3 linked regions of the Rhinolophus ferrumequinum genome follow. The protein of the gene in region 1 interacts with the protein of each later gene in a pairwise test. Links are inferred from orthologs where the notes say so. Each region holds a gene or a part of one and is shown in the gene's direction. Other genes may lie near its edges.

What was found.
Region 2: the proteins of GFAP (region 1) and ZC2HC1C interact in binary tests that used the Homo sapiens proteins (3 or more experiments, as listed by UniProt). The link is inferred for Rhinolophus ferrumequinum from reciprocal best matches to the Homo sapiens genes GFAP and ZC2HC1C.
Region 3: the proteins of GFAP (region 1) and PDLIM1 interact in binary tests that used the Homo sapiens proteins (3 or more experiments, as listed by UniProt). The link is inferred for Rhinolophus ferrumequinum from reciprocal best matches to the Homo sapiens genes GFAP and PDLIM1.

Annotation. Positions count from the first base shown.
Region 1 is NC_046304.1:39,784,543-39,792,304, reverse strand, and holds the start of GFAP (glial fibrillary acidic protein), read left to right. Parts: upstream 1-4,444; 5' UTR 4,445-4,476; coding exon 4,477-4,946; intron 4,947-5,814; coding exon 5,815-5,875; intron 5,876-6,066; coding exon 6,067-6,162; intron 6,163-6,938; coding exon 6,939-7,100; intron 7,101-7,762.
Region 2 is NC_046289.1:23,537,913-23,546,180, reverse strand, and holds the start of ZC2HC1C (zinc finger C2HC domain-containing protein 1C), read left to right. Parts: upstream 1-4,685; 5' UTR 4,686-4,799; intron 4,800-5,776; 5' UTR 5,777-5,795; coding exon 5,796-7,124; intron 7,125-8,268. Other genes in the region: DNA mismatch repair protein Mlh3, read right to left, coding at 1-60, 4,265-4,427.
Region 3 is NC_046299.1:28,006,873-28,015,110, forward strand, and holds the start of PDLIM1 (PDZ and LIM domain protein 1), read left to right. Parts: upstream 1-4,655; 5' UTR 4,656-4,801; coding exon 4,802-4,897; intron 4,898-8,238. UniProt on the Homo sapiens protein: Cytoskeletal protein that may act as an adapter that brings other proteins (like kinases) to the cytoskeleton. Involved in assembly, disassembly and directioning of stress fibers in fibroblasts.

The DNA of each region.
Region 1 (7,762 bases):
AGTTCAGCCAGGAGCCCTTCTTCAGCCACTGGAGTTAGGAGCTTCTAACCAGCAGAGCCTGGCTGGGCATGGGCTGTGGATGGGAGAAGGGACCCACCCTGGCGTGAGGGAGCCCTCCTCCACCTGGAAGGGGGAGACAACCCCTGCCCTGAAGGAGCTCCCAGCTGACTGTGAACCATGGGTTCTCACATCAGGGAGCTCCCATCCAAGGGGAGAGGGTGACTCCTGTCCTGTGGGTACCTTAGTCAGAAGTGGGAGACATCTTATTTTTAGGGTGATCCCAGTCTGATGAGACATAGGTCTTAGCATTAGGAAGTCCCATCCATGGGGGGAGGCACGGCCCCTTTCCTTGGGAAGCCTCAGGCTGAGGTGCAGAAAAGACCCACTCCTATGGGAGATGTTGACACACCAAGAACTTCTCAAACTGAATAGAGTTGGGGCCTGTAGTCTCGGGTTGAGGCAGAGCAAGGATGGAGGAGACAGGGAGGCGGGAAAGCAGGCTGGGAAACAGCCTCAGCTCTGAGTCTCCTCTGGGGCAGGTGGAGATAGTTTGTATGTGTCCCCTGACGGCTAAGCCAGCAGTGGTCTAGGCCAAACGGTGCTGACTCCCACACTCTCCTCACTGGGTGCTACCCCCGGCCTCCTATCCACACTGCCAGTAACTGCCCGTTGTGTGTGTGTGGGTCGGAGTAGGGGGCTGCCCACACACTGTCCTCTGTCCCTCCCTCATCCCCAGTGGAGTCAATAGGACATGGCAGCCCTTCTGGTGGACCCAGCTCCCACCCCTCTGAGCTCACCCCATCACAAATGTGCTAACATGTAGATATGTGAAGCACCTGGTAGGTGTTATGAAATAGTAGCTATGATTTGTCGAGCGCCTGCTATGTCTGGCTCTCACCGATTTTATCCTCATAACTGCCAAGGAAGTAAGTATAGGGAGTCCGCATTTTACAGATGTGAATATGGAGGCTCAGAAGGTTCTGGAAGTCAGCCAATACCATACAGCTATTGAGTGGCCATGGCTTTGCTCTCTGACCTAGAGGGCATTGCCATAGCAGTCAGAGGCAACTCTAGAGAATAAGGGGGTGATGCTTCTTCTATGTGATACAAATTTGGGTTTTGGAAAGCCTGCCCACTACGGCTGAGACCGCTTTGTCCCTGCCTCTGAAAGGCTGCGGCCTCACAGCCACTAGGACCTGGGCAGCTGAGCACTGCCATCTAGTGGCCGTGAGCGCCAGGTTCCCTTTCTTAGGGCTGGGCCATAAGATGGACAGACTCAGCAGTCTGCAAGGGGTCAGCCAGAAAGACCCATATTCTTTTCATCCCACCCACGTTTGCTGCCCACCATGCTGTGCCAGGCACCGGGAGAGGGGCAGGGGCTTGAGTGGAGCCAGTGGGCAGCAGTCCAATGGCAAAACAGCCACTTGAATTAGAGGCTGGCAAATTTGGAAAATGCTGGGCACCTCGTGTGTGCGTTGAGGCCAGGTGTGGTATTGGTCTGGAGGCCTTTGGGCTCTGTGGGTAAGAGGGCATCCTGGCAGGTTTTGATATAGGGAAGGGGCACAGCGAGTAGGAGGTCACCTCGTTCTCATCTCAGCTTGAAGCAGGGCACGGCTTGGCTGAAGGCCCTGTGCGGGGCGCCCAGGCATCCTCTCCCCCTGGCCTTTAGCTTTCTGTCTAATCCAGAAGGTGGTCTAGGGATTGGCCTGAGGCTCCAGATGTTGAGGCCCTCGGGTTGGGGAAGCAAGAGAGGAAGCACCATTTGATGGGGCAGGTGTGCATGATAGTGTGATCTGAGAGAGAGAGAGAGAGAGAGAGAGAGAGAGAACATAACTATAATTTGGTTAAATGAATGCATGTTGTGAAAAACCATGCAGCTGTTAAAATGATGATGTAGATAAATATTTATTGATATGGAAAAATGTTCACAACATATTGTTGACTGAAAAAAAGCAAATTACAAAGTAATTTGTACAGCATGAGCCCACTTGTAAAAAACTGAATTTATATGTGTGGGGAAAAAATCTGGTAGTGTTTATCTCCAGGTGGCAAAATTATGGTTAATTCCCTTTTTTGTGTGTGTGTCTGTGTGTATCTGTAATTTCTAATTTTTCTACAATGAATGTGTAATAAAAAAGTAATGAAAGTGGGGCACACAATCACAACCAAGTCTTTCTCCCTAGTTGGCTCTCTGTTACCTATCTTGAGATAGGTAAAGGCTGAGTTCCGGGATGGGTCTGAGGGTTGGATGGGGCTTAAAGATGGAGCAAGAAGCCTGGGCCTATGACAGGGGCCCAGGGAGGTGGCTGAAGGGGGTGAAAGTGGGGCCTCCATTTGCTGCTGCTGAAACACACCTGTATCTCACGCATCATTCAGCATCACTGACAGGCACCTCTTACTCTTGTTCTATCTTTTCTCTCCAGGGCTGCGTGGCACTCATTTCAACTAGATTTCATTTACAAGAAGAGGAGGTTATACACTGTGACTTGCACGGCAAGCTGGAAGGCCAGCCACTCCTGGCCACAGAGAACAGGATAAGGGTTTGTCCCCAGTCTTGCTCTTCCTTTAAGAAGCCCTGTCCTTCCCCAGCTCCCAAACCCACAGCTGGATCAAAAGTCACTAGGCGCCCTCTCCTCAAGATTCTCCTTCCCATGTCACTGCTCTGGCCCTGGCTAGAGACATAGGGACTCTTACCTCTTCTCTCTGCACTAAGAGTCACAGGGGAAACCTCAGCAGGCAGCTCATATCATGCCCAAATGAAAAGCATCTCTCCCAGCGTGGGGTAAGGGTATGGCCTGGGCTGGGGCTCAGGGGCTTGGGCTGGGTCTGAGAGCTGGGGAGAGGGTGAGCAGTCAGGCCTTGTCTGCGGAGCTGGAGACCTGGCAATGCTGGGCTGGCCACCCCCCAGGGCCTTCCCCAAGTGCCCACTGAATGACTCACCTTGGCACAGATACAATGGCCAGGGGTGGGCACAGAGCCTGCTCCCAGCTGCGCCCCAGCCCCCCTCAGATGTTTTCCGAGAAGCTCTTTGAACAGGGGGCTTGGGCTGTACCCCGCCTAACAGCCTGGCATCTTGGGGTAAAAACAGCACATCCCCCTGGGGGCCGCCTTTGCTGTGTGGCGCCCTCACTGGCGGTGGAGAACAAGGCTCCATTCAGCAAGTGTCCGGGAAAAAGCATCAGAGGCCCAGGCATGGGCAGTGCACAGAGTGAGGGCAGGGAGAAGAAGGCTGCCCGCTTCTCAGAGGTCCAAGGACACAGATGGGTGGGGGTCCTGGGCAGAGTGACCAAGGGCAGGGAGAAGAAGGCTGCCCGCTTCTCAGAGGTCCAAGGACACAGATAGGTGGGGGTCCTGGGCAGGGTGACTGAGGGCAGGGAGAAGAAGGCTGCCCGCTTCTCAGAGGTCCAAGGACACAGATGGGTGGGGGTCCGTGCAGGGTGCCAACCCTGCAAGATGACAGTAGAAGGGGTAGAGAGATTTGAAGACCCAAGGGGCAACAGGGTCCAGGTTCCAGGTTCTCAGTTTAGACCCGGTGGCTCCTGGGTTCCCAAACCCACCATCCCAGAGGCCTTTCCCATGTTCTCAGCCTGATATGTGGGAACTCGAAGGAGATAAATCTCCAGTGAGAGTGAGGTGAGGGGTGGCCAGGGAAACAGGGTATTGCAGGAACAAAGATGGGAATAGGGACAGCCAGCTCATTCATAACTGCTTTGTGGAGTTGTCAAGGCGCGGGCTCGGGGGATGGGGTGCAGGGACACTGGGCGAGGGAGGGTGAGACCGAGGCGGGGGCTTAAGAGTGGCCCAGGGTGAGAGCCAGAGAGTGCAGTGCCTGCTCCCTCTTGCCCTCTCAGGACCCCCAAGTTCCTTCCATCATCCCCCCTCTGTTAGACAGAGGCCTCAATTGACCCCGCAAAGGGCTGGTGTCCAATTCTAGTCAAGAGTCTCAGAACTCCAGGGAATGGGGAGAAAGCAAGAACGTGGGCTGCCTGTGTTCAGAGGGGAGGTCTCCAGCAATCTGTTGGAAACGGGGCTCAGCAGGAATCTGTAACATACACGGTTCCTTGAGTGTATGGAACAGGTTTGTATTTGTCAAATTGCCAGCACCTAGCAGGCACTAGAAGGAGGAGTGCTGAGTGAGGGAAGGCCTGGGTTATAGGATGTAAGAGTTGGAAGGTCAGAGGTCAACTGGTCCAGCCCTTTCTTGACCCACCTTCCTAGAGAGAGGGTCTCTTGCCCAGTGACCAGGCCCCAGGCCCCACATCTGGCCCCAGGCACTGCCCATCCGTACCTCTGTCTGTGCCCAGGAGGCCCTGCCTCTGGTGGGGTGAGGAGCTCTCCCCATGGCTGGGATGCAGCCCAGCCCCACCCCCTCAGGCTATGCCAGAGGGTGCTGCCAGGGGCAGTCTGAGCAGTGCCAGGCCAGCCCACTCCTCCATAAAGCTCTCACATCCCAGGAGCCAGCAGAGCCAGACCAGGATGGAGAGGAGACGGGCCACCTCAGCTGTGGCTGCGCGCCGCTCCTATGTCTCCTCCTCCGAGATGGTGGTGAGAGGCCTGACTCCCAGTGGCCGCCACCTGGGTCCTGGAACCCGCCTCTCCCTGGCTCGGATGCCACCCCCACTCCCAGCCCGGGTGGACTTCTCCCTGGCTGGGGCACTCAACGCTGGCTTCAAGGAGACGCGGGCCAGTGAGCGGGCCGAGATGATGGAGCTCAATGACCGCTTTGCCAGCTACATCGAGAAGGTGCGCTTCCTGGAGCAGCAGAACAAGGCGCTGGCTGCTGAGCTGAACCAGCTGCGTGCCAAGGAGCCCACCAAGCTGGCTGACATCTACCAGGCTGAGCTTCGCGAGTTGCGCCTGCGCCTTGATCAACTCACCGCCAGCAACGCCCGGCTGGAGGCAGAGAGAGACAATCTGGCACAGGACCTGGGCACCCTGAGGCAGAAGTGAGGAGAGGGCCAGGGGAGAGGGGCCTCGTGAGCAGGGAGGACTGAGCCCCTAAGAGGAAGTGCCTGCAGGCCTGCTGGGTCTGGGGAGGGAGGGGCCTCTGTCGCCCTGTTCCCTGGTTTCTGCTCCTCTGGGAGGGACTGGAAGAAGGCCCAGAGCCTCAGGGATCTTATTCCCAAAGACCGTCAGCACCTCCACACCGGGGAGCCCTGTGCAGTAGTCAGGGACCCCAGCAGGCAGGGCCTGTGCCTTTCATTCACTGTGGGGCATTGTGACCGTGGGCGGGGAACTCACCGATTCTGAGCCTGCGTCTGTCTAAAGGAGGAATTGGAAGGGAAGGTTGGTTTGCACGAGGAGGACGGAGCTCTGGGGTAGAGGGAATGCGGGAAAGAGCAGGCAGGCCTGGCTTCAGAACACAGGTGACTGCCTGTCACCAGTTCGTGATCAGAGTCAAGGCACTCAGCATGCACAGCCGTGAAGCGGAGATCTTAATAAAATCCATTTCCAAAGGCCAGAGGAAACCCCAGGGGCTTGGTGCTCTGCTGAGCTGGCCCAGCATGCATTTGTGCCCTGGAGTGCAGGAGGACGTGTGTGTTTGTGCGTGCAGCAGTGAGTGCACGTTGGTGGAAGCGCCTGTGTGAGCAGCAGCAGGTGCAGCAACCCTGATAAGGCCCCTTAGTAATGAGTTGAAACAAAGGCGCTTCTCTGCTCACTCTTCTGGCCAAGGTTCTGTGTAAGACCCCTCTGCCCCTCACTCCTCCTGCCACTCCACTTGTCATGGGGGTCTGTCTGGCAGCCACCTCCAGGGGCCGGGGTCCAAGAGTCCTCAGAAGAGCCTTGACCCAGGAATGTGTCCCCCTACCCCAGGTTCCAGGATGAAACCAACCTGAGGCTGGAGGCTGAGAACAACCTAGCTGCCTATCGACAGGTCAGGAGGGTGGAGGGGTGGGGCACAGGAGGGGGGAAAGTGTTGATGGCAGCCCACCCAAACACAGCCCCAAGCCCAACCCTCCCGAGCAATGTGCTGCTTTTCTAGCTCCAGAAGGGGAGATCAGACAAAGCTAGCGAATGAGGAAGAGTCTGGAGTCACAGCAGCCCTTTGTCTCCTCCCTATTCCAGGAAGCAGATGAAGCCACCCTGGCCCGCCTGGACCTGGAGAGAAAGATTGAGTCTCTGGAGGAGGAAATCCAGTTCTTGAGGAAGATTCATGAGGAGGTAATGCTGGAGCAGAGGGACGAAAGGACAACACAGAGATGAAACAGAGAGAGAGAGACTCAGAGACAGAGAGAAAGAAACAGAGACTGACAGAGAGAAAGAGAGAGATTTAATACAGGAAGAGAAACAGATGCACAGAGAGACTGAGGGAGACAGAGACAGACATGAGAACATCAACAGCCCCTGGTAAAATGCACACAGACACACACTCCACTTACTGAGAATTACAAGGGCCTGTTGCCTCATTTTTTCTTCACTACAGCTTTGTGAGATAGGAACCCTTCCAGTATTACCTTTTTCACAGAGAAGGACACTGAAGCTCAGAGGTTAAAAAACTGGCTAAGGTCACACAGGCAGTCTCTCTGACTCCACTCCCTCTGCCATCTCTCTCCATTTAAGTGAGAACCATTCATAATAAAAAAAGATCCCTCTGAGCTCTGACCTCAGATCATAGATTCAGCATCCATGACCCTATGGACCCTGGGAACCCCTAGGCACACCTACTCCCCACAGGGACTCAGTCACTCTCCCATGAGGACCCAGGCACACTTTCAGTGCTCCTGCCTGTCCAGGCCTGGGAGGAGGACAGTGAGGCCCCCAAACTAGCCCATGCCTCCCCTAACCTGGACTAGTCTCCCCATGTACTGGGACTGTCCCATTCCCCTTAGCCAACGTCTGAGTCCGAGGGGCTGGCAGAAGAGGATCTGATGCTGTGGGGAACCCCGGTTGCAGCCTGTTCCCCTGAGCCCCGCTATCCCTTCTCTTACCCGGGCCAGGAGGTGCGGGAGCTCCAGGAGCAGCTGGCTCGGCAACAGGTCCATGTGGAGCTGGATGTGGCCAAGCCGGACCTCACAGCAGCCCTGAGAGAGATCCGTACACAGTATGAGGCCGTGGCATCCAGCAACATGCACGAGGCGGAGGAGTGGTACCGGTCCAAGGTAACCCTGACTGGGCCAGCCAGCCTCCTCCAGGCAGCCCTCCTGGCTCCATGCAAGAGAATTGGGGAAGGAGGGTAGAGGAAGCTGGGAGAGGATCCTCTCTGGTGACTGACCTTCACCAGAGAAGTGAGGTGACTTGCCCAGGGTCACATACGTACCATTAAGTACTTATTATTATTTTTCATCATAATAAATAGGAGTAATATTTGTTACTATAACTAGTTGCTACTAAACACTGTTGTATGCCAGGCCCTCTGCTTTGAATGGATTATCTTACTATGAAGTAGGGACTGTTCTTTGACAGATGAGAGAACTGAAGCCCAGAAAGGTTAACTAATTTCCCCAAAGTCACACAGCTTCTAAGGGTTAAAACTAGATTTCCAACCCCTGCCATTTCACTTGGGAGCCTGCGTTCTTGATGCCTCCGCCATCTGTGTCCTGGGTTGTTGATCATCTCCTGCATGCCAGACACTGCCCAGGCTACAGAGGTATGTGTGAGCAGGGAAATGTGCTGGGCACCACACATGGTGTCTGTAGAGAACACTGCAGGGCAGAGTCTATATGCAATGTGGGGATCAGGGAAGGTACCATAGAAGGAAGGGCATTTGGCCTAAGCAGGGCTGGCAGGTTATGGACATGAAGAGAAAAGGAAAGGGGCATTC
Region 2 (8,268 bases), on another chromosome or scaffold:
CAAAAATTTCATAATCCACCGATATTAGGGTGTCCCCTTCTGCCATACTCATGCTCAAACCTGTCAGAAACCAGAAAAGCAGAAAAGTAAACAGAACTCATTATCCTACGTCAGCAACCCCAATTCTGAGGCAGAAAGGGCCACATCCACACTTCTTAACCACTGCGACCTCTCCCTGACTTAAGCTCCCCGAACTCCAGAGTACGCTAGTGGACACGCGTAAGCGACGGTGTGTGAAGAAGACACCTGGGCAAGTGAGCTTCGGGTCGCGACTGCCCACAGAGGCCTCTTTTGAGACAATTACCTGTTTAGCCAAATACCTCCCCACACCAGTCCTGCTCCCTCTCCATCCCTTCCTCTTCCCACGGACCTGGCTTTCACGCGGCCGCCAGAATCTCCTTCTAGCAACACTTTAGGGCCAATTGAACTGATGGGCACGCCCCGGGTCCCGTCCTACGCTCACCCTCTAAGTCCGGCACAACACCCCGACCACCACCGCAACGGTTCTCCTAGTCGCGTAACCGCCGCGCCCGGAAGCTCAGGGCGCGGGTTCCTCCTTCGCTGTTTCGCATGCCCATCATGTCTGCTGACCAATCAGGGACGGCAGGCTCTGCCCAGAGCCCGCCCAGAGGGTGGGATTTCGAGGCCGGTTGTCTGGGACCTCTCGGGAGCCTAGGGCTGGGGATCTGTCCAGGAACTCTCAACTCGGATTCTACGGACCGAGCCCTCACCCTTCTCAGTCACCAAGAGCACCTCTTTTCTCATTTTTCTCATGGGGAGAAAGATATAGACGATGAAGCACTTGAGATAAATCCAATCATTCAATAAATATTTACTGAGAGCCTTCTGTGTGTTAGGCGCAGTTCTAGGTAGACATACATCAGTGAACAAAAGGATTCTGGCCCAGAGGAGCTTAATTTCTGGAGATGGGAGACGGGCAATAAACATTAAACATTATAAACAAACAAATTGAATAGAATACATGCAACCTTTCTGCACTGACTTTTTCTTTCAGTTCTCAAATTTTAAGTCATGCCTAAGTCTGGAATTAGGAGTAGCGAGGATAAGTGTGTAAGAGGTCCTAGGGGTGGTTATTTCTCTTTCTGTGCTTCTGGAAGCTGCTCATTCCAAATAACGCTTATCTAAATCAATCCCAAGCACAAGCAAAATAACCCATGGCTCCAGAACCACAATTGAATCAATCAATGTAAGCCAAATGACCAAATTGCATAAATTTCTTCTGGGCAAAGGGAATTGTCAAGGGGTGTTGTGCGTGATGATTGTTTAAAGTAGGGTCACCTTGTAGGCATTTGAATACAGCTATCCTTGTGATTAAGAATGTGTATGCAGGAAAACTGTGTTTACTGTTCCCTTTGGATTGCTTGTATACATTACATCCCTTCATAACATAAGACTCCATATGTGAATATGCCACATTGGCAGACTTGGCAAGGTGAGACGGATTTGCAATGGAATCATTCCATTAGTTCCCCACTACAAAGTGAGGCTCTGGATCCTGGAAAATATAACCTTAGTGCTAGCACAGGGGTGGGGGGCAGGGTGGGAAGCTGGATTGGATGTTATGCTTGGCAATATTTGAAAATAATGCTAAACAAAGTAATTGGCTGGTGTTCTTTCTCCAAAATTCATTTTAAAAAAACTAGTTTCTCAATAGAATTAAAGACCTATTGAGTGTCTACTATTTATGGGACACTGTAGGGTATATAAAGATTATTTGAATGATATATAATCTTTGTCCTCAAAGAGTTTTTTATTTAGTGTAAGAAACAAACATGCATGCAAATAAAGACAATACAATGTACAACATGCTAATTCAGTTCCATGAACACCAATCAAGAGCTCCTCATAAGCCAGGCCTGTGGTGTAACCAGAACAGAAAACATCATGAGAGCATAAAGGAACAAAGAGATTAATTTTGACTGGGAAGATGGGGAAGACATTCTTGGAGGAAATATTATCCAAGGTTACACAACCACAACCAGTAAGTGATGGAGCTGGGATTTAATTGCAGGCAGTCTGAGTACAGAGCCCCCTCCCATAAATTCTATGTCTACCACCTCCCAGTATGTGGAGCTTGGGGTAAGGTAGTACTGCTGAGGTAAGAAAGTGCAATTAGTCAGGGGTGGCTAGATCAGGGGTTTTCAACCCTGGCTGCACATTAGGATCTGGAGGGAAGCTTTTAAAAATGCTGATACCCATCCCAAAAATAGGTATTGCACAAATGATCATCACAGCATTGCTCACAATGGTAAAAAAAAAAAATGCTGATATACAGATGATACCCCCAGAAATTGCCTTCCAGGTAGTGCTAAAGCACGGACAGCATGCACAACACGCGCAGCCAAGGTTGAGATTCACTGGGCTAGACTCTGGGGGGGGCAGGGCTGGAAAGGTAGGTTGGACCTAATCCGGTAGGTGGAAATACCATGTCAGATTACATGTTTCAACTTTATTCTATAGGTAAAGTAGAAGCCACTGGGTAGGACAATAATATTACTATGTAGGTAATTATTCTGGCAGCAGCATGAAGGATGGGCTTGGGATGCAGATGTTGAAGGGAAGAATAGCAGTTAGGTGAGTGATGCATGCCGTCCCAATGAGAAGTGAGCAAGAACTCACTTAGGGTCGTAGAAATGTAAAGGAGGGGTCATATATAAGAGACACTGCAGAATAAATTCAACAGAGCCTGCTGACCAGTTAGAGGGGAGTGTGACAAAGAGGGAGATGTAGAAGGTGACTGATGCTTTTAGTTTGAGAGGGAACACTGAAGAAGAAGTGGATTGGGGGAGTGGGGAGGTGATCATGAGTCTGTTTTCTGTTACATTGAGTCTGAGGTTCCTGAGGAACGAAATCGACAGTTGGAGATCTGAGTCTGTAACCAAGGAGAGAGAGCTAAGCCAGATGCCATTTAAACATAGAAGACACCTGAAATTTCAGTATTTGGTTGAAACCATATGCAGTCTGGAACTGCATGTATATGAGAAATAAGAGGGCTCTGGAGAACACCTAAATTTGGGGGACAGGTGAGGAAAAGACATAGCCCTGTAGAAGACGGAGCAAGAACACAAAAAAAGAAGCCAAGAAGGCACAGGATCAAGTGAGAACAGAGTTCCAAGGAAGTAAAAAGTCAGTAATGTTAAATGAATAGGCTGAAGAAGTAGCAGCTTTTGTCTTTGGTCATTGGAAAGTCACTGGTAGCCTGGCAGTTAAACAAAGTGGAAAGGGTAGAAGCCACACCACAATGGACTGAACAATGAAGAGGAGACGAGGAAGGGGCGCCAGCAAATGTAAAATTTCTACTAAGAAGTCTTGAGGAGCAGAGGAGAAATAAATGGGGTCCTAGGGGAAGGGGCCACAGGTCACGGGAAATGAGGTTCGTTTTGCAGGAGAAGTTAAGCATATTTTAAAACCAAAGTATATGGATTGATACAACTTGACGTTAACAAGATGGAGGGGTAAAGTCATGGAGTCCATTCCTAGAGGATGCTGAAAGGGACTCATTCAATAGAACACATGGAAAGAGAAAGATTCTTTTTCCTCAAAAAACAAGAAGGAAGTCAAGATGGAAGTCAGCACTCCAGGAAATTCGGCCAGACTAGAGGGGAGCTGTGGAAGTTGACAGGCAGGCGGGTTGCTGAGATAACTGGACTCTTGAGAAGAGTGGGAAATGTCTGGAACTCCATATAGGAGTCCTATAAAGAAGGCAAATAGGGAGTCAACCAGGAAAGAAAACAAGGGGGGAAAAGAAAAGCCCTGGAGGGCCCAACAAGGAATTACTTTGTAATATGTAAAAGCTGTAATGATATGTTGAAGTATTAACAGTGACTACTACTGTCTATATTATCGTCCATGTGCATGAATCTTTTACGTAGTTATAAGGAAAAAGTCAGTTGCCTGTTCCAAACAGCTTACACAAATGAACTGAAGCATGAAGGCAAATAAACTCTTCTGATGTTAACAGGTCACAGAGTATCACTTACTGTTGAAGCCAGGCTATACTGCTTATTTTCGATCTAGTAGTTAACTTTATTATCATTACATGTGGTTGAGTCATTCTTGGGCTCTATGAAGAGACGGCCAGAGTTACCACGTGAGAGTAAGACACCGTATCAAAATAATTACACTGGCTACAAAACTATCCCAGAAAGATACTGCGTAGCAAAACCTAGCCAAGTTGCTATAATTTCACCGCCAGCTCCAAACTATTGGTGAGGGAAAGCACGGAGAGACAGTGTAGCCATACCTGGGGCGCGCACGAAGCAGCCGAGCGTGCTAAGCAAGACTATCAGCAGGCTCACTACCGCTACGGGGGCGGACATCGGAATCCTGCGGCTGAACGACTCCAGGGCACATCTAGGGGCGCCGTCTTTTGCCCGAGAAGGGCACACCACGGGGTCTGGGGTCATCGCTCTCAGAAAAATACTAGTTCTTTGATGGAGCCCCAGAAAAACCTCTCCCGTCCCCTCCCTTGTTCCCCAAGGGCTGGGCTGGACGAAGCTGTAGAGTTGGCCGGACACCGGGTCAAGTGACACCCCGGCGCACCTCACCTCCCTCCGGGGCGGCTCCCTACCGCTCGCGGGACTGCGCCTGTGCGTGCTTTCCCCGCGGCGACAGAGGCGAGAGGCGGGGCTGGGAGCGCACGCGACCCCGTTCCTAGGCAACGGGAATAACAGGGGCCAGCTGAGAGCGCCTGCGCGGCGGTCGGTTGGTAGGGTTCTGGTCCGGAAAACTAAGTCTTGGGGTTGCCCCTGAGCAGGAGTTGTCCTGGAGAGCCTCAGGTAGGCGAGAGGACGGGGAGACGTGGGGTCAGCACCTCGACCTCCCAAAGGCCCGATAGACAGAAAAGCGAGGGCTTGTCCCCAAAGCAGAGTCCCCAGTGGGGCGCCCCGCCTGATCCTCCAGAACGGAACGTGACTTCCGCGTTCCGGATCTAAAACCCACGGCGGCCAAGTCAGGGGGCCCCCGCTTCTCAGTTACAAACCCCTGGCCTTCTGAGCCGCGGGGACTCGTTGGGTGAGGGTTTGATAGCCAGGCCCCTGCTGCAGGCCCTGGGCAGCGTCTGTGCTCCTTGGAGTCAAGCATGGTTCCAGCAGGAGGGAAGCCCTGGCACTTACCTCTAGGCCGCAGTTTTCTCACCTGTAAAAGGATGGGGCTGGACTTGGAATCCTGAGGTCCCTAAATTCCAGTCATGTAACTCTGAGGGAACCACTCAGTTTCTTTTCTTCGGATTTCCTCCTCTAAACTTTCTCCAGCAGCTTCTAGTCTTTGGATCTGTGTCCATTCAGTCCCATGGCGGTTTGGCATGGCCCTCTTCTCCTGCGTGGCAGCAACAGTACCACGCAGGAGTACTGAAGAAACTGGAGCCAGAAGGGGAAGTTGCTCGTCTTGTGTCACAGGCCTACAACCTGACTTCAAATCCAATAGCTCTTTCCACCGAGTATGGCCTATACTCTGTGTGGCAGGCGCAGCACTGTATGGCAGAGGCTGGTACTGGTATAAAGGAAAGCTAGGTGGCAGGAACACCTATATCACATTCATTTTTCTATCCTCAGGACCTAACATGCACTCCCAGGACATAATCAGCACTCACCAAATGCTTATTGAATGAGAGCTCTGGCAGACCCAGTACCACTGTCCCTAGAAAGTTTAAAGGAAAATGTGGGTAGGACAAATGTATGATAGAAACAGTTGAGTTAAGCAACCAGGGTGAACCTCAGACAAACTTCTCACATATATCTGGTTTAATCTCTCCTAGGCTTCAGTCCAGGCCCTGAATGGCTGGTCTCCAGTTGGCTCCACCTCTGCCTGTGGGCGTTATGCTCCCATATAATAAGGCAGATGCCCCAGGGAACCATTCCGCTAAGCAAGACCACTATGAAAAAGATGGCTCTTCCCAGCGCTCCTCGATGGGGCACCTGAGGAACAATTCCCAGCAGAAGCTTTTGAGCAACAATGAGCTGGCGCTGGATAATCTGTACACTCACTCCAAATGGAACGCCTGCACCAAAGCCCAGAGCTACTACCATCCCCACTGTGCTGGAATCAGCCAGCAGGATCCCAGAAACAATCTCTGGGGCCAAGCAAAGGGTTTGTTTCACTCATCAAGCTCTCAATCCCAGTACCCCAAAGCACATAACCAGGAATTCATCCCCTTTACAAAGAAACGAATTGGAGTGGACCGGGCATACCCACTGAAACCCGTATTCCATCGGAAGTCTTGTAGTACACGTGAGACTGGCACTGATGGGGACCAGAATGTCTCTCCCAGACCCCCTGAGCCAAGAGAGTTTTCATACAGCAGCTTGGGTTCAAGGAACTGGGTGAGTTCATCTGTGGTTGGTACTGTTGCTGCCACGCAGGAGAAGAGGGCCATGCCAAACCGCCATGGGACTGAATGGACACAGATCCAAAGACTAGAAGCTGCTGGAGAAAGTTTAGAGGAGGAAATCCGAAGAAAAGAGAGCCTCCTAAGGGAAAAGCTGAAGAAGACAGAGGAGGAACTCAGAAGGATCCATAAAGAAAAGGAACAGGCTGAGGAAAAGGCAAAAAGAGAGCCACAGAGAATGACATTTCCCAGGAGGAGAAGTAAAGGTAATAGCAACACTGTGTACAAACCTATCTTCTCCCCAGAAAACAGGTCTAAGGAGGTCTTCGGTCGAGACAGGCAAGAGGATGAAACTTGGGGACGGTCTCAAGAAAATTCTAGTCCATTCCATTTTTCTGATTATGGAATACAGAAGCTCAGAAGGGAAAGACTAATGGCAAGCAATAACAAAATCCGAGCCTACGTCTCGGGGCCGTTGAAGCAGAACTTTTCTCAGCCCTCAGAAGCGCCGGGCAGTGCTTTGCCAGGATCCACACGCCATTCTAGCTTGTCTAAGGCACCAGACTCTTCAGGTTCCAGCTGTTCCACTCAAGAGCCAGAACTTGGCAAGTGCAGCCACTGTGGACGCAAGTTTCTCTTGCTCAGGCTGGAGAGACACTCCAACGTCTGCAGCAGGATACATGGTTCCAAGAGGAAAGTGTTTGACTCCTCTAGGGCCCGGGCCAAGGGCACAGAACTAGAGCAGTACTTGAACTGGAAGGGACCAGCCTCAGTCAAGGTAACAGGGCCTTATGGATTTGACTTTGAGTGGGGATCATTGTAAGGACCTGTTATATACCAGGGGTACCAAAAAAGATGTATATACACGACTTGTATTCATCTTTTGTTATCGGTATCTATTGAGTATTATGATTTTAATACAGTTTTCTCCTTTCTAAAAAAATGTGTATACATTTTTTGGGCACCCTCTGTATATCATCAGATTTTTGTAAAGAAAAAATGTGTCATGTAGGGAGAAAGTGGGAATTAACATTTATTGATTACTACTGTGTGCCAGTCACTGTGACCGGAGCTTTTCATGTGACCCTCGCCATAACCAAGTGAGGATTTCATTATCTCTTATCAATTAAAAAAATCTAGTCTCAGAGAGGTTAACTTGGTTGAGATCACAAACAGCTTTAAATAACAGAGTCAGCATCTAAATCTGAGTCAGAATGACTCCAAAATCTAGACTTAAAAAATATATATCCATTTGATTCTAAAAGTAATACACATTTACTATAGAAAATTTAAAGACATGAAAAATATATTAAAAAAAAAAAAGCTATTCAGCACTTCACCATCTTGAGTGAATTCCGTGCTCTTTGTTCTCTGCCACCTCCCAAGATTAGGATTTATTACCACTCCTATAACCATATCTACTTTTCCAAAGTTAGCTCAATTTTGATATACCTTCTAAATAAATACATGAAACACAATTAAGTTTGGAATTCTTCCCCCAATTTGGAGTGTAAACACCTTAAAGGTAAAGGATTTTATTTTTGATTAACATTCCTAGCTGCAGAAAAACTAGCTTGTGAAAAGTAAGGACTTCGAAATACTTTCATGATAAGCTTAGGGGAACTTCATCGGCACACTTGGACCATCAGATCTGGAGAAGATTGTCTAATGAATACGTCCACCATCCTATCAAGGTTATGCCTCTTGGTTTGTAAATGAGTGTTTCTCAAAGTGACAAACACTTTTTATTTTAGTAGTTTTAGTGTATATTAGAAAAATATAACAACATGTTAAGCCCTTGATTTCTAGGAATCATGAATTTAAAGAAAAATATGAAGTAATTAATAGTAAGGCAGATAACATGAAAGTGGTATGCAAGTGATCCAAGTTTGGGAAAGCCTAGACCACACGATCTCAAAGCC
Region 3 (8,238 bases), on another chromosome or scaffold:
GGAAGCGGGAGAAAAGCAAAAATTGGGTGCCCAATTCTCTATCCAGGCCCTGGCGCAGCCAAAGGCACCTCCCATTGCGCATCCCATCGTCAGACTGTCCTGGAACCGCACACCGCACACGGACGAACCGCGCGCGCGCGCGGGATCCCAGCAAAGAACTGCACTGCCCTGGGAGCCGGGTTGGTGGTTGAACGCGCGCGACCAGACCTGCGGAACCGGACCTGGCGGCAGGAAAAGATGTTTTTGTTCCGCGAGTCTTTGAGCTTGGGTTTCGGTTTTTACAGAAAAGAGAAAACATGCCACTCGAGTGTTATTTGACCAGGGCGCCCTCCGCAGTTGCGCGGGTTTGGGGACGTGGGAGCCGCTGTGCGCCTGGCCCGGCAGCCTCCAGACCAGAGCTTCCGGCTGTCTCTCGGTGCTGGGCAGAGCCGGCCTCAGATCCCAGCTTGGGCGTAGAGTCTGGGAGTCACCCACACGCCCACTTGGGTGGGGGCCTAAAACGCTCAGCCCCAGAGGAGGGGTCCTGGCAGCGATCTCCAGGAATGGGAGCTCGGCAGTCACCTGGGCGAGTTCAGGACTTGTCCTGGAGATTAAATAAGATCATGTATAAAGTTTAGCACAGTTCTCATCTCTGTTCTTAAGAAATGGGACTGTTGTTTCAGGAAGCAAAGTCTCCGCTTAGTGGCTCTGGAGAGTCCTGGCAATGACATCCTGGTGCGGGCATTGCCAGCTCTGCAGAAGCCAGACTGGGGGAATGTGCCAGCAGACGCCTCCCACCCTGTCCATGTTGTAAAACTGGACTGACAGCTGGAAAGACCCACTGTCCCCCGCCACTCCCACTTCCGGGACCATTCCTCTGTCTTTTTCCTGTCCTCCTTGCTTCCATTTCTCCAGCAGTCTCCTACATTCTCCCCTTCCCCCACTCTACCCCTCTATCCAGATATTTGATGGAGGCTGTTTAGGTCAACAAACTTTTATGGAATGCATTATAATAATAACAAGGCAACTAAAGTTCAGAGAGGTTGTTTAAGGCCTCCACAGAAGTCAAGGGTCTGAGGGAACTGGGGAGTATGGATAAATAAGTAATGGTGTTTAAAATTAGACAGGGTTGCTGGTGTTTGGGGGGGTCAGAGCTGTCAATGCGTCTGGGTGTTTTCTGAGTACATGCTGTGCGCCCAGCTCAGAGCTAGCTGTTGGAGATTAAAAACATAGAAGATGAGGTTTCCTACCCCCAGAATGACTGACATGTAGTCTCCGATACAGGGCACTGAGACCATTTTATTGATTTTTTTACATCATCATTAGAGGAAATTATTTTTTAAAAATTCCCCAATTCCATCTCCCAATAGAAAGTTAGTTTCTGTACTTTTTCCTAGTTTTTAGCAATAGGAAGACAGTTTTTTATTTTTTTAACATAAAACTGACAATAATATTTGCTTTAATAATTTTGTTCTGCTTATTTTTACACTTTCTGAAAACACTTTTCCCTGTCTCCTCAGAGCCGTCGTGGCCGTCATTTTCATGCTGCATAGTATTCCCTCATATGGCCATACCATATTTAGCTACTTTTCTGTTACTGGTTTATTCCAGTTTTTTGTTATAAAAAATGAGGCTATAAATATCTTTGTACATATAGCTTTTTTCTTCTTTTAAATTATGTTCTTGGTATCCGTGCCCAGAAAGGGGATGACTGGGTCACAGGGTTGACTGTTTTAAAGCTCTTGCTATGTAGATCCAGACTACATCTGAGAACATTTAACAACTAAATGAAGCAGCTGAGGACTCACCGCCCTCACAAATGTACTACTGCTCTAATCTATAAAGAATATTGTGTAGAACAAGAACTCTTGGCACCTACGATGTATCAGGTGTGTGCTAGCAGGACACACGGGGATGAATGAGAGGCAGCCCCCCCCCCGTGGGGGCCACAGGATAAGGCTTTTCAACCCTTTTCTCCTTCTAGGTCACAAAATATTCAAAACTGCTACACATCTAAGGCCAGACTCAGAATTTGGCGATTCCACAAAATTCTGCAGGGGCTTGAAACACTAACATGTTGTCTGATCAGCAGAATCTTAATCAAAGTGGGTGGATTTGGGGGTTCAATGAAGCAAGTGGCGGGTTCCTGGCTTTAACTCCATTCCTTTTTCTCAGATTCAAGAAAGAACATCAGGATGCAAGGGGACGGGAGGGATGCATAGATAACCCAAATCCACTCTGATTTCTAAATACAAGCAAACCATTCCTAAACATAGGCATTTGTGCTGAGATGCAATCAGACAAGTGAGATGATCCTTTGGTGTGTAAATCTGTGCACAGGGCTCCTGGGTAGGTAGGCCTGCATCACAAGGAGACAACCCTGCTTTTAACAGACATTAAACTCGGTTCCTGGGCCCAATTCCAATGTGGGGAGTATCCCCCCACCCCAACAAACAATTCTCAGACACCATCAGGGTGTCTGGGAATTCAGCTCAATTCTAACACTATCTGTCTACCCGGAGAAAGCATCAGATTCCACAGGCTAAGGGTTCAGTCCTACAAGATTGCTTCCCCCATCACACACACACACTTCGAACTCATACTTGTGCTTCTGACCAACTGGCTACAGACTAGAGGTTTCAACGACCCCCTCCAACTCATGCCGATCACAAGTCCAGGTTGTTACCTGTACTTTAGACCAATTGGCTATAAATCAGAGGCCCCCCCCCCCTTTGGATTAATTTGCTAGAATGGCTCACAGAACGAAGAGAAACATGTTACTAGATCACTGGTTTTTTTGGACAAGGATATGACTCAGGAACAGCCAGGTGGAAGAGATGCACAGGGTAAGGGTTGTGAGAAGGGGCTCCGTGCCCTCTCCCTGCCCACCACTCTCCCAGCATCTCTATGTGTTCACCAACCCGGAAGCTCTCAGAAGCAAATTCATGGAACTCAAAGAGGAGGGTGGAACCTGTGAGTTAGAGTCAGTCTGTTTTTATGGAGGGTTCATTACATAGGCATGACTGATTAAATCACTGGCCATTGGCGACTGATTCAATCTCCAGCTCCACTCCCTTTCCAACAGGTGGGGGTGGGGGTTGGGACTGAAAATTCTCAACCTCTAATGACCTCGTTGGTTCCCCTAGCAACCAGCCCCCCTCCTTAGATGCTTTTTAAAGGTCATTTCATTCACATAACAAAAGACACCTTTATCATTCTCAACACTTGGGAAATTCCAAGGTTTTGGGGAGCTGTGAGCCAGGAATTGTGGATGAAGACCAAGTATATATGAGAAATACATTTTTGGTCATCTGAGTGACCAAATACATGTTTTTTATAAATCACAATCTCATATACATTAAGCATGTGTTCTGTGTCAAGCACTGCATTGGGGTCTGGTGCCAGGATGAATGAGTGCCAAGAAAACTATGAAGAACCTGGGTCCCAGAAGAAGGTAAGTGGTCAAAAGAATGGACAATGCATTGCATTCATTGAATACTATGTGCCAGGTACTATTCTAGGCACTGGGATACAGCAGTGATTAAAACTGATAAAAACTCTACCTCCATGGAATTAATGCTTCGAGGTGGGACAAATAATATGTAAAATATTGAGTATGTCAGATAGCAAGAAATACAGTGGAGAAAAGGATCTCGACAGGAGATCTTAAGTAGGGAGCTCAGAGAGGATGACATCAGAACAAAGAGGGCCAAGGGATGTCTAGGAGAAGAGTATTCCAGACAGAGGCCCTGAGGCAGAAGCAAGGAGGCCAGGGTGCGGTGGTGGTGGTGGTGGTGGTGGTGGTGGTGGGGGGGGGGGGGGGGCATCTGGAAGAGATGAGGTCAGAGGAGTTGGCGTCATTGTGGGTGGTCTTATAAGCATTTTAAGGATTTTGGCTTTACTCAGAGTTAGGAGGGGACCTAGTGGACAGCGTGAGATACGGTCTGGTCTGGCGCGGAGAAAGCACTCAAGGGACGAGGGTGGCAGGGAGGCCAGATGGGAGGCTAGGGGCAGGCTGGCAACCCAGGTCTTCTTACTCAACCCAGTGCCCGGGGCCCGCCCCTGACTTGATGATTGAACCCTTGGGAAGGTCAGAACCTACAGGGAAATCCGGCCTGGAGGAAAAGTTTTTCTAGGAAGGTTTTGAAGTCCAATTATAACAACGTGCGATGGTCTCATTAGCATTAGAAAGTTCCTGTCTGGGCTTCCTTAGCAACCGGAGCCCCGGACTGGCAGCTGTGTGGCCTCGGATAAGTCTTCTAACCACAGGCCGACACAGTTACAACGGCTGTAAAATGGAGCTAAAAGCTCTTGACTGCTTCATAGCCTCAAATGAGATCATTCGAAAGCACCTTTAACACATCATTCTTTTACAAAAAGCAAATGTGAAGATGGAGCTGCTCTCAGAGGGTTGAGTTTGCACAGCACTTCTAAACTCGTTTTAAAAAGCGCATAGATCAGGTCTGTCGGAACATGCTTGCCTCTCACCTAGTGCCCTGGGCGGTGCTGGGGTCCGGGGCGGAGCTGCTGGGAACTGGGCCCCCTAACTAGACTCACCGCGCTCTCGGACCGACTTCCAGCTGCGGCCCTCGGCGGGCCACGGGGCGGAGAACCGTTGCGGGCCGTAGGCGGGAGGACGGGCGGGGCTGGCGGCCTGATCCCGGCCTGGGCGGAGCCGCCCCCGCCCCTGCTACCGCCCGCCCCCGGCTCCCCTGGCCAGCGGCGCACGCTCTTTCTCCTATAGCTTCCCCGGGAGCCCAGCGCGTCGCGCCGCGTCCAGTCGCGTCTGTCCCCGCGGGTCAACGCTCGCTGTCGCCTCGCCATGACCACCCAGCAAATAGTGCTCCAGGGCCCGGGACCCTGGGGCTTCCGCCTCGTGGGGGGCAAGGACTTCGAGCAGCCTCTCGCCATTTCCCGGGTAAGAACAACCTGGGACGCGAGGGGAGCAGGGTGCTCCCAGCCTGGGGAGCGACGTGGCCCGCAGGGGACCTGGGAAGGCTGGGGCCCGGCGAGCGCTGTCGGAGACGGCGGTTTCGGGAGCTGGGGACGGAGCTGGGACCTCGGGCGCATCCAGGTGCGCCGGGAGCGCTTGCGTGGAGCGCTTTCCGCGCGTCTCGGGCTCGTCGCCCCCGGCAGCCCCTTCCCTGCCGCTGCGCTCCGGGGCGAGCCGGGCGGCGGCCGGGCGCGCACTCGCCAAATCCGCGAAATAGAAGGGAGCAGTTGGAGTTCCTTCGCCCCGGAAGCGCGGCCGGGCGTGTGGACGCGCTTTGTGAAGCGGCGAGGGTTTGGGGGTCCCCGCGGATTTCGCACGCTGGGGAATAGTAGTAGCACTTCTCGGTTCTTCACAAGTCGCAGAGTGGCGGAAAGTCGTTTGGAAGCACCCTGGACGACCTGGAAAGGGAGGTGGAGTGTGGGGGGCGAGTGGGATTAACTTTAAACACACAACCGAAACAACTCGTTTCCCACTCTTTGGATCTCAGCCACGGCCTCGTCTCATCTCCCTAATTCCTTTTTGGAGAAAAGGTGAAAGTTTGGAAACCATAAAGCCCGGACAGATCCTCTTGGACATACCCTTCCCCCTGCAGGAGGTGGCCATGGCCATGGACATATTTCTTCTCAGCATTCCCGGATTATCAACGGATCAGCCCTTTCCCCACAGGGATACTTAAGTCAAAGGAGTAACTGAAAACTTCTTAGAAGGGCCTCATCTCTGGGAGGGCACAGGTTCAATCGGAGACCACAAGAAATCTCAGAGACCCAGACTCAGTGTTTGGAGGCCCAGGCTTTGGTCATCTGGTCTGGGCTAAAGGCAAGCTTGGTGTCCCACTCTCCGAGAGTGGCCACATTCAGTGCCTGCACCTAGGAGGGGACCAATAAATATTTTTTGACTGAATGATATTTCAGTAAAGGGAGCAAAAAAAAAAAAGCACCCCCTGTTGTCCACACCTTGCCTAAAGGGCTCACATTCCATTCTTGGGCCCATCTATTTACTGACGGTGACCCTATACTGGCCTCCCCAGCCATCTGAATCTCTCTCTTTTTGCTTGGAGGGGGTTATGAGGGTGGGGAGGGAAGGGGAAGATCCCTACGGCTGCTTTTGACTTAGTCCCCACTTCCAGCAGCTGAAGGAGTATGTGGGAAGTGCAGGAGGAAAGGAATTAGGCGCCTACTCTTGGCTTCTCTGCTGCCCACAGTCTTACCCACATTTCTTTCCAGGTGGGCCTAGTGGATTTAGGGAGTCTTCTCTGACCATCCCACACTCTGCGCCCCACAAAAGGCGATGCCGTATTCAGTTCTTAGGCCCTGTCTCCCCCCTGTCTTCCATATGCCATCCCAAGGTGACCTCTTTGATTATTCTCGCAGGCACAGGCTGTCTTCCCAGCCACTGAATTCCTCAAGCGCAGAAACTGTGCCTTCCCCTAATCCGAACCCCCAACCCCAAGCCTGACACAGAGCTGAATCTGGCCATGCCCAGTAAATCTTTGCAGGCTTATTAATAAATGCTTGTCCAGGGAAGGCACATTTAGACTCGCTTACCTCATAGTCCATTTGTCCCTGCTCTTTGTGTCTATAATTAACCTGTCAGCCCTCTCCACTTCTGAAATTATTATATATGCCATGAAACCTTTTTTTAAGAAGTAGAAGATATATTGGCAATTTGTTAAAAGGGCAGTTGCCACCTGGCATTTTAACTACTTTAAAAACTCTCAATGCAAGTGGCACTGTGTGGGAATGAAGCTATGTGGTGGAAAACATTGTAAATTCATTAGTTTGTACCTCCGTATATTAATTATTTATTAGCACATGTTTAATGAGCATATACCATATTCCAGAAACTGTGTAAAGCCCTGGGGTCTCAGAAATGAGAGGGCACGACTCCATTCTCAGGTGTGCAGCGTCTAGTTAGGGAAGCTAATCTTGATGATGCCCTTGGCAGGTGCTTTAATTGAAAAGTGAAAGTGGCTCAGGAGGTGACAGTCTCATGGTGACAGTAGTTTCCTTGTTTCTTACTCTCATTATTTCCACATGGAAAAATGTGGGCTTACTCCTGGTAATGGGAAAGTCATTGTCCTGAGGAGGTCCTGAGGGGACCATCTGAGATCTGGTGCTGGTTTGGTGTCTGCTCCTTACTTGAGCTGTCCTGGGATGAGCCTTCTGTTGTCTGAAGCTGCCTTCTTTACCTCTGCTGTGAGTTAAGGAATCTAGAAACGGTGACTAATCGTGAGGAGGTGTAAGCACTTTGAGAATTACACCTTCTGGTTGGCAGGTGTGCTACGTTTATCATCCTAGGCAGATAGTTTGCTAGAATGGTTTTGTATATATGTAGACTTTGAGCCTCCACACCAAAGCAAACCATAAAATTAGGCTGGTAGAGGAGTGCCTTTTGTTTAAATAACTATATTTGCTTTCACCTACATGAATTATTCTGGTATTGGCCCTAGTTTTTTGTTAAACTGCTAACGCCTCTGAATATGATTCTGTAATCTGTGTACTTGAAATTGTTTTTTTTTTTTAACTTATTTTTTATTGTGAAATAACAAAGTCATAAAATATAAATGCATAGCAAGCGATTGTAAAGTACATGTTTAATTACCAACCAAGGCAAGAAATAAAACATTGCCGGCACTCCAGAAGCTCACTACACATAACCCTGTCCTGACTTATGTAATCACCTCCTATGGAAAAACCTTGTTTTTCTTTATAGTTTTACCATCTAAATATGCATCCTGAAAACTAGAGCTTAATTTTCCCTGTTTCTGAGCAGAATCATACAGAACACATTGTGTGTGTGTGTGTGTGTGTGTCTGTGTAGCTTACTTTCACTCTTCAACATTTTCACCTATTGTGATAAACTTAAAATTTCAATCTAGGTTTTCAAACTTTAAATGGACATAAACTACTAGCTTTCTTCCTTTCCCAGTGTTTTATTTAAGTCCTCTACCTTGGACTCCCTGTTGATCCAGACGCACATTTGCCTCTATCCCCTGAGATTATTTTCTGTCCGTTCCTGCTCCACATCTATGGTTGTCTATCTCCGAGATTTTTTTTTTCTATGTCAATTTCATATTTCCTCTAGTTGCTGTCAAGGGAAGCCTTCAGAGAATTGACACCCATGCTGAAAAGTACTGCTCAGTTTATGTTGACTTTCTCTGAGAAGACAGGAAGGGGTGGGGTCAGAGATAAGGGGATGCTCTTATCGGGAGGGGCTGCTCACTTGCCTCTTGACCCCTGGGGAAGCCTTTGCTAAGAGCACTGTGG